Linked DNA regions of Stegostoma tigrinum. The protein of the gene in region 2 purifies or fractionates together with the protein of the main gene of each other region. This does not show direct contact. Links are inferred from orthologs where the notes say so. Each region holds a gene or a part of one and is shown on either strand. Other genes may lie near its edges.

Evidence for each region. The genes of interacting proteins can lie anywhere in the genome.
Region 1: the proteins of sap18 (region 2) and FACT complex subunit SSRP1-like fractionate together in Homo sapiens (co-fractionation; 3 studies listed by BioGRID and IntAct, with this or other methods). This does not show direct contact. The link is inferred for Stegostoma tigrinum from reciprocal best matches to the Homo sapiens genes SAP18 and SSRP1.

The regions. Positions count from the first base shown.
Region 1 is NC_081399.1:1,282,019-1,289,648, forward strand, and holds the start of FACT complex subunit SSRP1-like, read right to left. Parts: upstream 3,030-7,630; 5' UTR 2,125-3,029; coding exon 2,065-2,124; intron 692-2,064; coding exon 506-691; intron 1-505. UniProt on the Homo sapiens protein: Component of the FACT complex, a general chromatin factor that acts to reorganize nucleosomes. The FACT complex is involved in multiple processes that require DNA as a template such as mRNA elongation, DNA replication and DNA repair.
Region 2 is NC_081359.1:73,360,366-73,367,605, reverse strand, and holds the start of sap18 (histone deacetylase complex subunit SAP18), read right to left. Parts: upstream 3,027-7,240; 5' UTR 3,007-3,026; coding exon 2,893-3,006; intron 1-2,892. UniProt on the Homo sapiens protein: Component of the SIN3-repressing complex. Enhances the ability of SIN3-HDAC1-mediated transcriptional repression. When tethered to the promoter, it can direct the formation of a repressive complex to core histone proteins.

The DNA of each region.
Region 1 (7,630 bases), on a different chromosome or scaffold from region 2:
TCAGTTAGACCCACACTGGGAGCACCGTGCACAGTTCCTGTCTCTATATCCCTCAGTCAGACCCACACTGGGAGCACCGTGCACAGTTCCTTTCTCTATATCCCTCAGTTAGACCCACACTGGGAGCACCGTGCACAGTTCCTGTCTCTATATCCCTCAGTCAGACCCACACTGGGAGCACCGTGCACAGTTCCAGTCTCTATATCCCTCAGTTGGCTAACACTTTGTGGAAGTGTGGGATACCGTGCACCTACTCATGTGCGTGGTTAAGGGAGGGAGTGGGGCAGATGGAGCAGGACAAGAGGAGATCAGCTCTAAGATCAGCAAGCACAGGGATAGATGCGATGGGTTGAGTGGCGTGACTGCAGACAGGAAAACAAGTTGTCAAGACAGAATTCAAGAGCTCTCCTGACCAGAGGTGATTGGGTGGCGGGGAGAAAGAGGGGCCAGGAGGGAGATTCTCCTTCCCAACAGCCTCAGGCTTGGTCTGTCTTTCCACACTCACCCCTTCCCGGAATCCATCAAACTTGCAGAGGTTGCCATTCTTTAGCTGGAGCCTGATGCCATAACCCCTGGCAACACGCCGCCACACTCCATCACTGACATCCGAGGCTTGGACACTGTCCACTTTCCCGGTCTTACTGTTCTTGAAGACAATTGTCTGACGGCTCAGACGCAGGCGTCCATCGATCTGCACAGGGTTGTGGGTAGGAACAGCTCACAGGTTACAACACAATCCCTGACAGAACTCCCTCCTCACCCTCACCACCAGGGACTCAGACTTCAGGCAGGGCAGTGAAGGTGGTATTCGGTACGCTGGCCTTTACTGTTCCATGAATCAAGCGAGTATACCGATTGGGAGGTTATGTTACAGCTGTACAGTGAGCCTACTTTTGCAATACTGCATTCAATTCTGGGCTCCCTGCTATAGGAAGGATGGTGTGAAACTCGAAAGGGTTCAGAAACAATCTGCAAGGATATTGCTGGGTTTGGAAGGTTTGAGCTCCTGGGAGAGGCGGAATAGGCTGGGGCTATTTTCCCTGTACTGTTGGAGGCTGAGGGTGACCATATAGAGGTTTATAAAATCATCAGGGGTATCGACAGGGTAAATAGCCAAGGTCTTTTCCCCATGACGGGGGGGGGGGGGGGGGGTCCTAAACTAGAGGAGCATAGGTTTAAGGTGGGAGGGGAAAGATTTAAAAGGGGCCTAAGGGGCAACTTTTTTTTTGCACAGAGTGGCACAGGTATGGAACGAGCTGCCAGAGGAAGTGGAGGAGGCCGGTACAATGACAACATTTAAAAGGCATCTGGATGGGTCTATGAATAGGAAGGGTTTAAAGGGGTATGGGCCAAATACTGGCAAATGGGACTAGATTGATTTAGGACATCTGGTCCCCGTGGACAAGTTGTACCAAAGGGTCTGTTTCTATGCTGTACATCTCTATGACTTCAGGTCACGTGCAGCTTCTCTGGGAGGGTTTTCCATCGAGCACAAAGGCTCAGGGGGAGATGCTCACTATCATGAGGGGTCTCCCCTGGAGTGGGGTAGGGTGCAGAGAGGAGACTATGGGACAGAGATCAGGAAGTGGTCATTATGCAAATTTCCAGCTCAGCCACTCACCACCCCAAGGACAGATGTGACCCCAACCCCCATTCAAACGGAGATGATGACCTAGTGGTGGTATCATGAGCCAACTAATCCAGAGATCTGGAGTCAAATCAGCAGCAGATGGTGGTTCATCCGGTTCTCTAGTCTCCTTCAGGGAAAGAAATCTGCTATCGTCACCTGGTCTGGCCTAGACACACAGCAACGTGGCTGACTCTCAACGGTTAGGATCAGGCAAGAAATGCTGACACAGCTAATCATGCCCACATCCCATCAACGAATCCAAAAAATATCTAAGATCATACCAAGGCCACCCCCCAGGTGGATATCACCCAGACAGTGTATCTTCCACCACCTCATCCCACCAAAGACAGGCATTCACTTCTGCACAGTCCTGACGTTGAGATTTCCTCTCCAGCCACGACCCAACCCCCCCTTACCATCTTGCGAGTACATACCATTGTTCCTTTCAACTCCTGGTAGATGTCATTGTATTCGAGGATGTCAGAGCTCGCCATGTTGCCCTATACGGGAAAGGACCCCACCTCGTATCAGCAGCTATACGGTCAGGCTGCCAGCAGGGCTGCAAAGGGGACAGAGCAGCAGCAGCAGCAGCAGGCACTGGGCAGTAGCTACAACCTGCTCCTTTCACAGGTGACCCTTTGCCCAAGGGCCCCCCTGCTCTAAATCAAAGGCCTGTTTGACTCTCTCCGACTGGGCACCCAACTACAAATGGTCTTTCTCCGTCTGGGATCTAAGTACCTGGGCAAGCCCCTGCTCCAAAACACTGGGTTCCCAGTCTCCCCGGAGACCTCCTCCTGTTCCTGCTGGGCCTGGTGAACCCCCTCTGGCCCTGGGGGAAGGGGGCCTGCTGAGACCCCCTCTGGCCCTGGAGGGGGGGGGTGGAAGAAGGGGCCTGCTGAGACGCCCTCACCTGGGGGGGGGGGAAAGAAGGGGCCTGATGACCCCCTCTCACCTGGGGGGAGGGGCCTAGTGACCCCCCTCTCACCTGGGGGGAGGGGCCTAGTGACCCCCTCTGGCCCTGGGGGGGGGGGAAGAAGGGGCCTGATGACCCCCTCTCACCTGGGGGGAGGGGCCTAGTGACCCCCCCTCTCACCTGGGGGAACGGGCCTAGTGACCCCCGCTCTGGCCCTGGGGGAGGGGTCTAGTGACCCCCCTCTCACCTGGGGGAGGGGCCTAGTGACCCCCCTCTCACCTGGGGGGAGGGGCCTAGTGACCCCCCTCTCACCTGGGGGGAGGGGCCTAGTGACCCCCCTCTCACCTGGGGGGAGGGGCCTAGTGACCCCCCTCTCACCTGGGGGGAGGGGCCTAGTGACCCCCCTCTCACCTGGGGGGAGGGGCCTAGTGACCCCCCTCTCACCTGGGGGAGGGGCCTAGTGACCCCCCCTCTCACCTGGGGGGGAGGGGCCTAGTGACCCCCCCTCTCACCTGGGGGGAGGGGCCTAGTGACCCCCCTCTCACCTGGGGGGAGGGGCCTAGTGACCCCCTCTCACCTGGGGGGAGGGGCCTAGTGACCCCCCCTCTCACCTGGGGGGAGGGGCCTAGTGACCCCCCTCTCACCTGGGGGGAGGGGCCTAGTGACCCCCCCTCTCACCTAGGGGAGGGGCCTAATGACCCCCGCTCTGGCCCTGGGGGAGGGGCCTAGTGACCCCGCAGCCGTTTGTCCTCTTCTCCCCCTCAGCTGCCCCCTACCCCCCGACCCGGACCCGGACCCGGACCCGGACCCGGACGATGCGGGAGGAGACGCTGCCACTCGGCCCGGAGCTGATGCGCGCCCGCTTCTACCCGCCAGCACCACGTGAGCGCCAAGAGCAGAACGGAACCGGAAACCGCCGACCTCCCGGCCGTAAACACGATGGAGGGGGTCACGTCAGCGCCGGACCGGAACCGGAAACGAATGCCCGAGGCTCATCCAACAATAAATACGTTGGGGTCACAGAAGCACCGCCCCAGACCGGAAGCGGAAATCGGAGGGTGGGTTCAGACACGGTTGAGCGTTTATAAAAAGTTTTTTTTCGGTATATTTTATCTCTTTTTCTCTCTCTCTCCCCCTCTGGCTCCTTCTGTTCATTTAAAGTGGAACTAGAAGCCGGAGCAGTCCCTCTGGTTTATTTTTCTCTTCATGACCTTCCTTCCCGCGCTCAGGTTTGGAGGGGTCAGAGGTCAGGTACAATGTCAGAATTTTATTTAAAAATTAATAAACAAGAAAAAAAAACAAATTAATGATCATAAATAACAGTAAATAATAAACAATAACGTTGTAAATGACCAAAGATGACGAATAACAGTAGACAATAACAAATGTACAATGAATGATTAAAATAAACAAAAAAAGAATAAATATTGATTCATAATTTTAAATAATAGATAATGAACAAACAATAACCAAAAATAAACATATAGCAAATCGTGAGATAGTCATTAATAGTAAATAATAAACAGTAAATATAAATAACAACGGTAAACATTAATAAAAAATATACAGTAAATAGTGTATTATATACAAATATTAATAAACACTAAGAAATAAATACTCAGTGAATAACATACAATAACAATTCTAAATAATTAATAGTAAAATGAAGAATGAATAACTATTGAGTATATAAAATATGGGAAATAAATAATTATAATAAACCATTCAATAAATGCAGAGTAAATAATGATCAACGATAATAAACTGTGAACAAAAAAATAGTAATATAATAATGGTAAATAATACCTGTGAATAATTAATTGAAATGACAATCGCGCTAAATAATAAATTACTAAATAAACAAATAATAGAGTCCTACAGCTGTACAGTACAGAAACAGACCCTTCGCTCCAACCCATACATGCTGACCAGATATCCTAAATTAATCTAGTCCCATTTGCCAGTATTTGGCCCATAGCCCTCCAAACCCTTCCTATTCATGTAACTATCCAGATGCCTTTTAAATGTTGTGAGAGATTAGAAATGTTGTTTCTGCAGATAATGATGAATGGTGTGGTCTTGCAAAAGAGGACCATTACATAAATAGTCACAAGATTTTGTAGCAGAAGTTTATTATTAACCAACGATTAGGTTTTGCAAAGGCGGCAGTTAGCACGACCACCTGCATAACTTGTCCTTTCCAGTCTAACCCAATAAGGAAAGAATAAACAGGGGGATGGGGTTTTAGGCCGGCAGAAAAGGGGAACAATAAACAAGGGCGGCCCGATAGGATGGAGAATGATAGGATAAGATTGGACCAATGGGACCAGGGAGGTGTGATTCCGCAACTTGTAAACTGTGTAAGAATGCTTCACATGCTTTGTAGTGTGCGCCTGTATAGCATGATCGCACAGAATAAAATTGTTCTTGTTTCCAAGGCTTTGTCTCAGGCTGAGTTTGTGAGCAAGTTTTGGTTCTCACAATGTTTTAATTGTACCAGCTTCCACCACTTCCTCTGGCAGCTCATTCCATACACACACCACTCTCTGCACGAAAAAGTTGACCATTAGGTCCCTTTTAAATCTTTGCCCTCTCACCTTAAACTAATGCCCTCTGGTTTTGGACTCCCCTATCCTGGGGAAAAGATCTTGACTGTTCGCCCTATCCATGCCCCTCATGATTTTATAAACCTCTATAAGGTCACCCCCTCAGCCTCTGATGCTCCAGTGGAAAACACCCCAGCCTGTTCAGCCTCTCCCTACAGCTTAAACCCTCAAACCACAGCAACATCCTTGTGAAACTTTTCTGAACTCTTTCACATTTAACAATATCCTTCCGATAGCAAGGAGACCAGAAATAAGGACAGTATTCCAAAAATGGCCTAACTGACAATCTGTAAAGACAACCAACAACGTGACCTCCAAACTCCGAGACTCAACACACTGACCAATAAAGGCAAGTGTACTAAACATCTTCTTCACTATCCTGTCTATTTGCAACTCTAGGTACTATGAACCTGCACTGCAAGGTCTCTTTGTTTGGCAACATTCCCCAGGACCTTACTATTAACCCTGTAAGTCCTTCCCTATTGAACAATGCTAAACAACAATAAGTATTTATAATAATGAACAATAAATGTAAACGAAAACAGTATGAACATCCTAAATTTTAAATAATGGCTAACAATACAGATGTGGTAAATTCTAGTAAAGGATAAACAAATACATGGTAGACAATAAATATAAAAAAACTAAATGTTAAATAACAATAAATAATATGCAAGAAATGAATGACAAATAATGTTAAACTACACAAAATAAATATGCAATAATAAATAATTATGAATAATAACAAATATTTAACACTATTAAACAAGTATCTAATAATAATTATTACCAACAATAAGTAATAGACAATAAATAATAATAATTATGTTGAATGACAAACAACAAACATTAACTTAATAGAAAATAATGATGAAGTGACGCGTGTTGTAAATTACGTTCCCTCTCTGGGAGCATGGACTTCATAGTCAGACCCTCACATAAGTGAGTTCTACTCCACAGAACCCTTCTCTTCCTACGTTGACTCAATTTTTCTCCCCTTGTCCAGCCCCTTGCCACTTACATCCGCAATTCCTCTGACCTTTATGTCAGTTTCGGAATTTCTAGTTTGCATGCTCCAGCTGCCTCCTCTTTCCAATGGACGTGCAATCCTTCTACACATCCACACCCCGGTGGTCTCAGGGTTCTCCGCTTCTTGGAGAAAAGGCCTAAACCGTCCCCACCCACCAACACCCTCCATTGCTTGTCCTCACCCTCAACAACTCTTTCAACTCCTCTCATTTTCTTCAGGTTAGAGGGATGGCCATGGGTACCTGCATCGGACCTAGTTATGCCTGAATATTCATGGGGCACGTGGAACATTCCTTGTTCCAGTCCTATTCCGGCCCGCACCCACAACTCTTTGTCTTGTATCTTGATGATATCATCAGTGCTGCCTCCCTCTCTGGTCCGGAATGGGAAATGTTTAATCTATTTGCTTATACTTTCCACCCAACCCTCACTTTCAACTGGTCCATCCTGCTTTCCCTCCCTCAACATCCGTTTCTATTTCTGCGGACAGACTGGCCACTAATATCTAAGTACAAACCAACCAATTTCCACCGCTACCTGACTATACATCCTCACAGCCTAGTTCCTGTAAAGACTCCAATCCATTCTCCCGTTTCCTCTCTCTCTATTGCATCTGTTCTGGACCAAACAAAACAAATTTCTGGTTCAATGGTCACGCAGTTATCATGGATGTTGATACCGGCACAGAATCATCAGTGATTGCAGAACCAGACTTTAACAAGATCTGAGATAATAAAATGTGAGGCTGGATGAACACAGCAGGCCAAGCAGCATCTCAGGAGCACAAAAGCTGACGTTTCGGGCCTAGACCCTTCATCAGAGAGGGTCTAGGCCCGAAACGTCAGCTTTTGTGCTCCTGAGATGCTGCTTGGCCTGCTGTGTTCATCCAGCCTCACATTTTATTATCTTGGAATCTCCAGCATCTGCAGTTCCCATTATCTCTTTAACAAGATCTGCTCTGGACTATTTGTGCAAACCCTTGGACGGACTGAGATGATGTGGTGGGGAACCGTCACAAAGTAGGGTTACGACTTCACTTCCAGTCTCCTTCAATAAGCAGTTAGTGCAGTTATCACTGCACTGATTGTAGTAAAAGGTTCAGGCTCAACCTTGATGGGGGTGAAATTGAGAAAGATCCACCTTGATTGGCTCACATTTTTCGATTGAAAAATGGCTGCCTGAGTGAAGTCTGAAGTAAACACCCAGAAATTTTTCAGGAAAGTCCAGGGACTGTGGCAGGAGCCAAGGCAAACTTACACATTTGGAGCAGGAAACAATCCCACAATCCTGCAAGGGCCCACCCGGTGCCTTAGGGGTGAAGGTCGAAGCAGAAACCAGGAGGCTGGGAAGTGAGGGAATTATTAAACCAGCCCAGGGTGTGGAATGGGCAGCACCGGTCGTACTGATTGTGAAGCTGATAGATCAGTTCACATTTGCATGTGGGTGGGGGTG
Region 2 (7,240 bases):
TGACGTAAAGCATTACCTAAATATCTAGATTAATAGGCTACTGATAATACGATTAGGTCAGCACCTGCCATCATTCCATTACAATCAGTATTCAATTAATTTGACCTGATAGATACAGTTAAAATTAAATAGTTAAGGGACAATGAATTTTTCAGTAAATTTAAATCCAAGGTTTTTAGAAAAGAGTTAAAAATATTTCAGTTGGCCGCACTATTAAGCAAAGAAATAGCAGACATCAGCACTTGATTAGTGAGCAGCCGCTGAGGTGGTTTATTAACACTACTTCAGTGGGTTTAAACTAATTGGTACAAGCGTGGAATATTAGCAAAGCAAAACAAAATGCACAATGAATTGTAAAGACAAAAAAACTCAAATAGGATACAACATGACATGAAATACTGTCAGCGTAAGGGGCATGCTGTAAGTTTTAACATGGATACATGTGAATGTATTAAGTGCACCAAATATGGCTGGTGAGGGGGAGACACAAATAGCCACATGCAAATTATGTTGTGGTGATAATGGATGCCTTGAATGAGTAAGGTAGAGTGAGGGACTAAATATTCCTAGATGCAAGGTACTCTGGAAAAGTGGGGAGCAATACTAATTAAAGAGAAATTAAAGTACTAATGAGAGGGGTTATCCTAGAGGAGTCTTACAGCTATGGAACAGAGGAATATAATTACACTTCTGGATGTACCCTATAGGCAACTAACTAGTGGAAAAGATGTAGAGGAACAAGTCTGCAAGAACATTCATGAATTATAGTGTAGTTACAACAGAAAACTTTAATCCAGTAGCGACTGAACAGTAATAGCATAAAGGGCAGAAAGGGGAAAAGAGTTTCTAATAAAAGCAAAATACTGTGGTTAGTGGAAATCTGTAACATACAGAAAATACTGGAAAAACTCAGGTTTGGCAACATTTGTGTCATTCTAGACTTGAAAATTTAACTTTGTTTATCACCACCGATGCTACCAGATCTGCTGAGTTCCTCCAGCACTCTTGTGCTAGTTGTGAAAGAGTTTCTAAAGTATGCTCATGAGAATGGGAACGAAGTACAAATGGAAGAAAATTGAGACACCTATATAAAACACTGGCTCAGCCTCAAGATCAGCGCATCGCTTTTTAGGAAGGATGTAAAGGCATTAGAGAGTATGCAGAAAAGATTTGGGAGAATAATTTCAGGAATAGGAAAGTTCAGCTCTTGGATAGATTGGAGAAGTTGTGGTTGTTCTTGTTAGAGATAACAAGAGGACATGTGTCAAAAATTGTGTGGTTCAGAGTTGAGAGAATGTATTCCTGTTTGTGGAAGAATCGAGAACCAAAGGACACAGATTTAAGATAAAAACAAGACACTGCAAAATGCTGTAAAATCTGGGAAAAAGACTGTTGTAAATCTCATTGCCCAATATCAAGTCTAGCACAAATCAGGAACGGCATGGAATACTGTCCATTGCCTGTACGCAGTTCCAACAACAGCCAAGAAACTATCGCAGGCCAAACAATCCACCTGATTGGCACCCCAACCACTACTTTCAATAGTCACTTCTTTCAGCACTGACATAGTGGCAGCAATGTGTACCACCTACGAAGTACATCACAGTATTTTACCAAGGATCCCCTGACAGCATCTTCCAAACCTCTATTGCCTACAAGGACAAGGGTAGCTGAAACATGGGAAAATTAACAGCATCAAGTTAATCTGCTACTGTGGATCAAAATTCTGGAACTCCCTTCCTAACACCATTGTGGGTGTCGCTACACTCTTAGGACAGAAATGGTTCAAGATGGTACTTCACCATCACTTTTACCAAGGCAATTCAGGTTAGGTATCCTGCAACATTCACTTTCCATAATGAAAAAAAAACACTGAATTGTGGAAACCCATTTCTAATGTGACTTATAAAATGAAAAGAACTGCAGATGCTGTAAATCAGGAGCAAAAAGTTGCTGGAAAAGCTCAGCAGGTCTGGCAGCATCTGTGGAGGAGAAAACAGAGTTAACGACTTGGGTCCGGTGTTCAAAGAAACCAAAAAACCCCACAAAAGTCTGCAGTGAAACAGATTTTTATTTTTAAGAAAAATCACAAGCTAAAAGGCTATCGAAAAAAACAAGCTTCCTGCTGCATTCAAAATTCTCCACTTAATTTCACATCTATTTTGAAACGATTTGAGAGATTTACGCTTTCTTCTGAATGGGATACGTTTACCAAACTGAGATGTGCGGAGAAAAGAATGCTGTGAACAGGCATAAAATATTGGATGCAAAATTCAGGCATGGCTAAATTATTTGCATAAACCAGTGTGTCCCTTTTTTGTTCTTATATGTGAAAACAAAAATTTGTTCTGAGCGCTGGCAAAATGGGGATCACATCACCCCTCCACGACGTACCCGATGTCCAGTCTAATTTCAGTCAATGAAATTAAACAGTAGGCGACCCATAGCTCCAATTGCACTGGTCCCTAGCCGTAATTCTACGATTAACTGGAAACCCTATTAGCACCGTCACAACACATTACAAAGAAAAACATTCAGAACAAAACAAAGGTTGAAAAACAAAATACTTCCTAGTTTCTGATTTAGAAATTTCCAGTTACCGGCTAAAACTGGACCGAAGGGGAAATCTTGGCCTCACCCTCAATCAGCGTAGACCGCGGGCCCTCAGTCAGTTCACTCAGTGAGAAATGGTTCACATTTGAGACAGACAGAGAGAGCCCGCACCCTTACAGTCAGAATCCGAGCTCCGGACACTTTCAGGCGGCGGCAGCGGCATCATCCAACGTGCACTTTCCCGGAGGTGACATCCCAGGCCCTGACCTGACTCAACCTGCAGGGTCGCCGCTACTACCTTAGCCCCCGCCCACCCCCGTCAGTGCGAACAGTTTTCACCTTCTCGCGATCCACCGGCTTCTCTGGCTCTTTCTTGATCTCCTCCTGGGTGACTCTAGACTCCACCGCCATATTCCCGCCCCGCCGCTCTCTCAACGATGGCGACCGCACCATAGAGAGCGAGCAAGTCCCGAGAGCTGCGCACGCAGCATGCGCATGTCAACAAACTATTTGTGACAACTGCGGCGACCATTTTTGCTCCTGGCAACTGCCCACGGTGACTGGCAGTAGAGCGAAGGAACGTGGCAATGAAATATAAACCGAAAGTCCATCATTTCTTAACGGGGTCCGAACCATCTACTGTCTCTCCCTCAACAACGATAAGGTTCTCCTTGTCCTTACCGTCTCCTCCCTTGTCTGCCTTGCGCAGGGACCGTGCCCTTCGGGATACCTTGGTCTACATTCCTTCTCTGCTGACACCAACCTCCCCAGTAGCCCCACGGCACCTTTCCTTGCAACCACCGAAGCTGCAACACTTATCTCCCAGATAGTAGGAACTGCAGGTGCTGGAGAATTTGAGATAACAAGGTGTAGAACTGGATGAACACAGGAGGCCAAGCAGCATCAGAGGAAACTTCAGCCTTCCTGCTCCTCTGATGATGCTTGGCCTGCTGTGTTCATCCAGTCTACATCTTGTTATCACACTTGACTCCTACCTCCCCAGCATCCAAGGGGCCAAACATACTTTCCAGGGAAGCAGCACTTGCACTTCACTCAATCTAGTCTGCAACATTTGCTGCTCACAATGTGGTCTCCTCTACATTGGGGAAATGAGGCACAGACTGGGTGACTGCTTCACAGAACAACCTATCTTCTTTTCTCTCCATCTTCGGTCCGCCTCCCCCTCTCTCCCTATTTATTCCAGAACCCTCACCCCATCCCCCTCTCTGATGAAGGGTCTAGGCCCGAAACGTCAGCTTTTGTGCTCCTGAGATGCTGCTGGGCCTGCTGTGTTCATCCAGCCTCACATTTTATTATCTTGGATTCTCCAGCCTCTGCAGTTCCCATTATCACTGCTTCACAGAACATCTATGTTCTGCTTGCAAAAATGATCCTGAGCTTCCAGTTGCCTGCCACCTTAACACACCACCCTGTTCCCTGGCCAATATCTCTGTCTTCGGCTTGCTGCAGTGTTCCAGTGAAGTTCAGCACAAGCTGGAAGCATAACACTCCATTTTCTGAAGAAGGGTCCCAGCCTGAAACATCAACTTTCCTGATCCTCTGATGCTGCCTGGCTTGCTGTATTCATCCAGCTCCACACTCTGTTACCCCATTTTCCACTTGGTAACCATGCAGCCCACCCGGCTCAATGTGGAGTTTAGTAATTTTAGAGTTTGGACTCTCCCACGTCCTTGTCCCCACCCCACACTTCAGGCCTTGTTATCACATAGCCTGTCATTTCACACTACCTATTGTCAGCCACTGACAGTCTCCATAAACAGCTAATCACCCTCCTGGCCAGATTGTAATCAACTCCTTTGTCCAACTGTTCTATCTCTTTGGGATCTATACCCAACTACCATTTACTCATCACCCCCTTCCCCCATCCTGTCTTCCGCATATAAACCACCAATTTCCTCGCCTCCATCAGTTCTGAAGAAGGATCACCAGACCCGAAACACTAACTCTGATTTTTCCCCACAGATGCTGCCAGACCTGCTGAGTTTATCGGCAACTTCTGTTTTCGTTTATGATAAATGTCAATGACTGGTCACTTGGTTCACCCCCAGTGAATGCATGATCACCAAGTTTGCAGCTGACAGAAACAAAGGCGGGAATGCAAGTAGTGACAATGATACCGAGGGTCATCAAAGGGAAATAGACAGGTTAAACAAGTGGCTAAAAGCTTAGTTATTGGAATATAGGGCTGGAAAATGTGAGGTTATGCACATTGGCAGGAAGAATAGAAGAGCTGAATAATACTTAAATGTGCAAAGACTGCAGAAAACTGCAGGACAAGGGATTTTGGAAGTCTTGGTACATAAATCACAAAAAAATTAGAAACCAAGTTCAGTGGTTAATGGTGAAAGCAAATGGAATGTTTACCCTTACTTCAAAGGGAGTGGAGTATAAAAATAGTGAGGCCTTTATAAAATTAAACAAGGTACTTGTCAAATCATTGATAATGGGAACTGCAGATGCTGGAGAATCCAAGATAACAAAGTGGGGAGCTGGATGAACACAGCAGGCCAAGCAGCATCTCAGGAGCACAAAAGCTGACGTTTCGGGCCTAGACCAGGCCCAAAATGTCAGCTTTTGTGCTCCTGAGATGCTGCTTGGCCTGCTGTGTTCATCCAGCTCCACACTTTGTTAACTTGTCAAACCATACCTGGAATACTGTGAGCAGTTCTTTTTTCCCCTTAGCTAAAGGAAGATATGCTGGCATTGGAGGCAATCCAGAGAAGATTCACTAGATTGGTCTAGTGTATGGAGGGAACAGCTTTTTCCCAGCTGGTATTAGACTAATGAGTGGACTTTCTAGCCTCAAATAATACGGATCTTGCAACATTGATCTTGCCTGGTGCATGCCCTGTGCAATATAACCTGTATGCCTCTGTCTAAGTCTTTTTGAACGGTGCATTCTTGCTTACTATGATCTGTCTGTACTGCTTGTAAACAAAGCTTTTCACTGTACATCGGTACACATGACATTAAATCATTCAATCAATCAATCAATTGATTTTCTTTATAGAAAATGTGTACTGATTGGAGTTTAGGAGAATGAGAGAAGACCTTATTGAAACATATAAGATTCTTAGTGGGATTGACAGGGTAGATAGAGAAAGGTTGCTTTCCCTTGTGGAAGATTCTACCACCAGAGGGCATAATCTCAGAGTAAAGGGTCACCCATTTAAGATAGACATGGGGAGGAACTTCTATTTAAGGCAGGTGAATCTGTGGAATTCATAGATATCATTGAATCCCTACAGTGTGGAAACAGGTCCTTCGGCCCAACATGTCCACACCGATCCTCAGAGCATCCCACCCAGACCTGTACTCTTATAACCCACCCAATCTACACATCCCTGAGGACTATGGGCATTTAGCATTGCCAATCCACCCACCCTGCACATCTTTGGACTGTGGGAGGAAACCAGAGCACCTGCAGGAAACCCATGTGGATACAGTGAGAATGTGCAAACTCCACACAGACAGTCACCAGAGGATGGCTGTCAAATCTGGGTAATTACGCATATTCAAAGCTGAATTCTAATTATTAAAGGAGTCTAGGGTTGGGGAATAAGACAAGAAAGTGTAGTTGATGATCATCTGATCAGCAATGATCTCCTTGAATAATGGACACAATGGGCTGAATAGCTTATTACTGTTTCTATATCTTATAGCATGCTAATAATTTCCCCACATAAACAAATTAGAATAATCCCAAATTCCTCTCGCTATTTAGAATCCTAATATTCAAATAACTGCCTTAATTACTAGTGCAGATAATTCTTTGGCAAAATTTGACATCATGCAGATATCTGGAAAGTTGTCTGAAAGAAACAAGTTTTAAAGAGCATTTTTAAAAAGGAAAGAACAGTAGAAAAGTTGGGGGTCATGAGAAGTGAGTGGCGGTAGTGTTGCAGTATGGTGTTTGTTAGTTGCAGAAATTCCACATCTTATGTTCCAGGCTGCACTTGAAGACATTGCCTCCAACATTGTAGCAATTAAAACAGGTGGTGTTCAAGAGGCCTGAATTGGAGCAGCACAAGTATCTTGGAGGATTGTAGGGGTTGGAGGAAAGAACACAGGTAGGTCATGGACTGTGGCTGTGTAGGACTCTGAAAACAAGGATGTGAATTTTCAAACTGATGCATTAGTCACCTAGGAGAAAATGTCTGTCAGTGAGAAACGGGTGACAGACAAATGAGACTCACTAACTTCAGACATAGGTAGTTTTGAATAAGTCCAAATTCATAGAGAATGAAATGTTGGAGTCCAGCCAGAAAATCATTAGAACAATTAATTTTACAGGTAACAGGGAATGAATTAAGATTTTAACAGCAAATTAGCTGCAGCAGGGGAAGAAACAGATGATGACTTGAAGATGGAAAAGGCAATATAGTTGATGAAAAGGAGGGCTTGATATCTCAACACAGAGTTTAGTGGGTGCCAAGTTTACAAATATTCTGATTCAGCCTCAGGTAGCGGTTGAAGTTGTTGACTTGCTCGCCGAGCTGGCTTGTTTTTGTTCACAAGTTTTGTCACCATGCTAGGTGACGCCATCAGTGGAGGTTCCGATGAAGTGATGTTATTCTACTCCACTGGGAATTTATACTGTCCCGTCTGTTATGGTGAGTACAGTCATTTCCGGTTTTGATCTGTATGGGTTTATATGTAGGGGCTA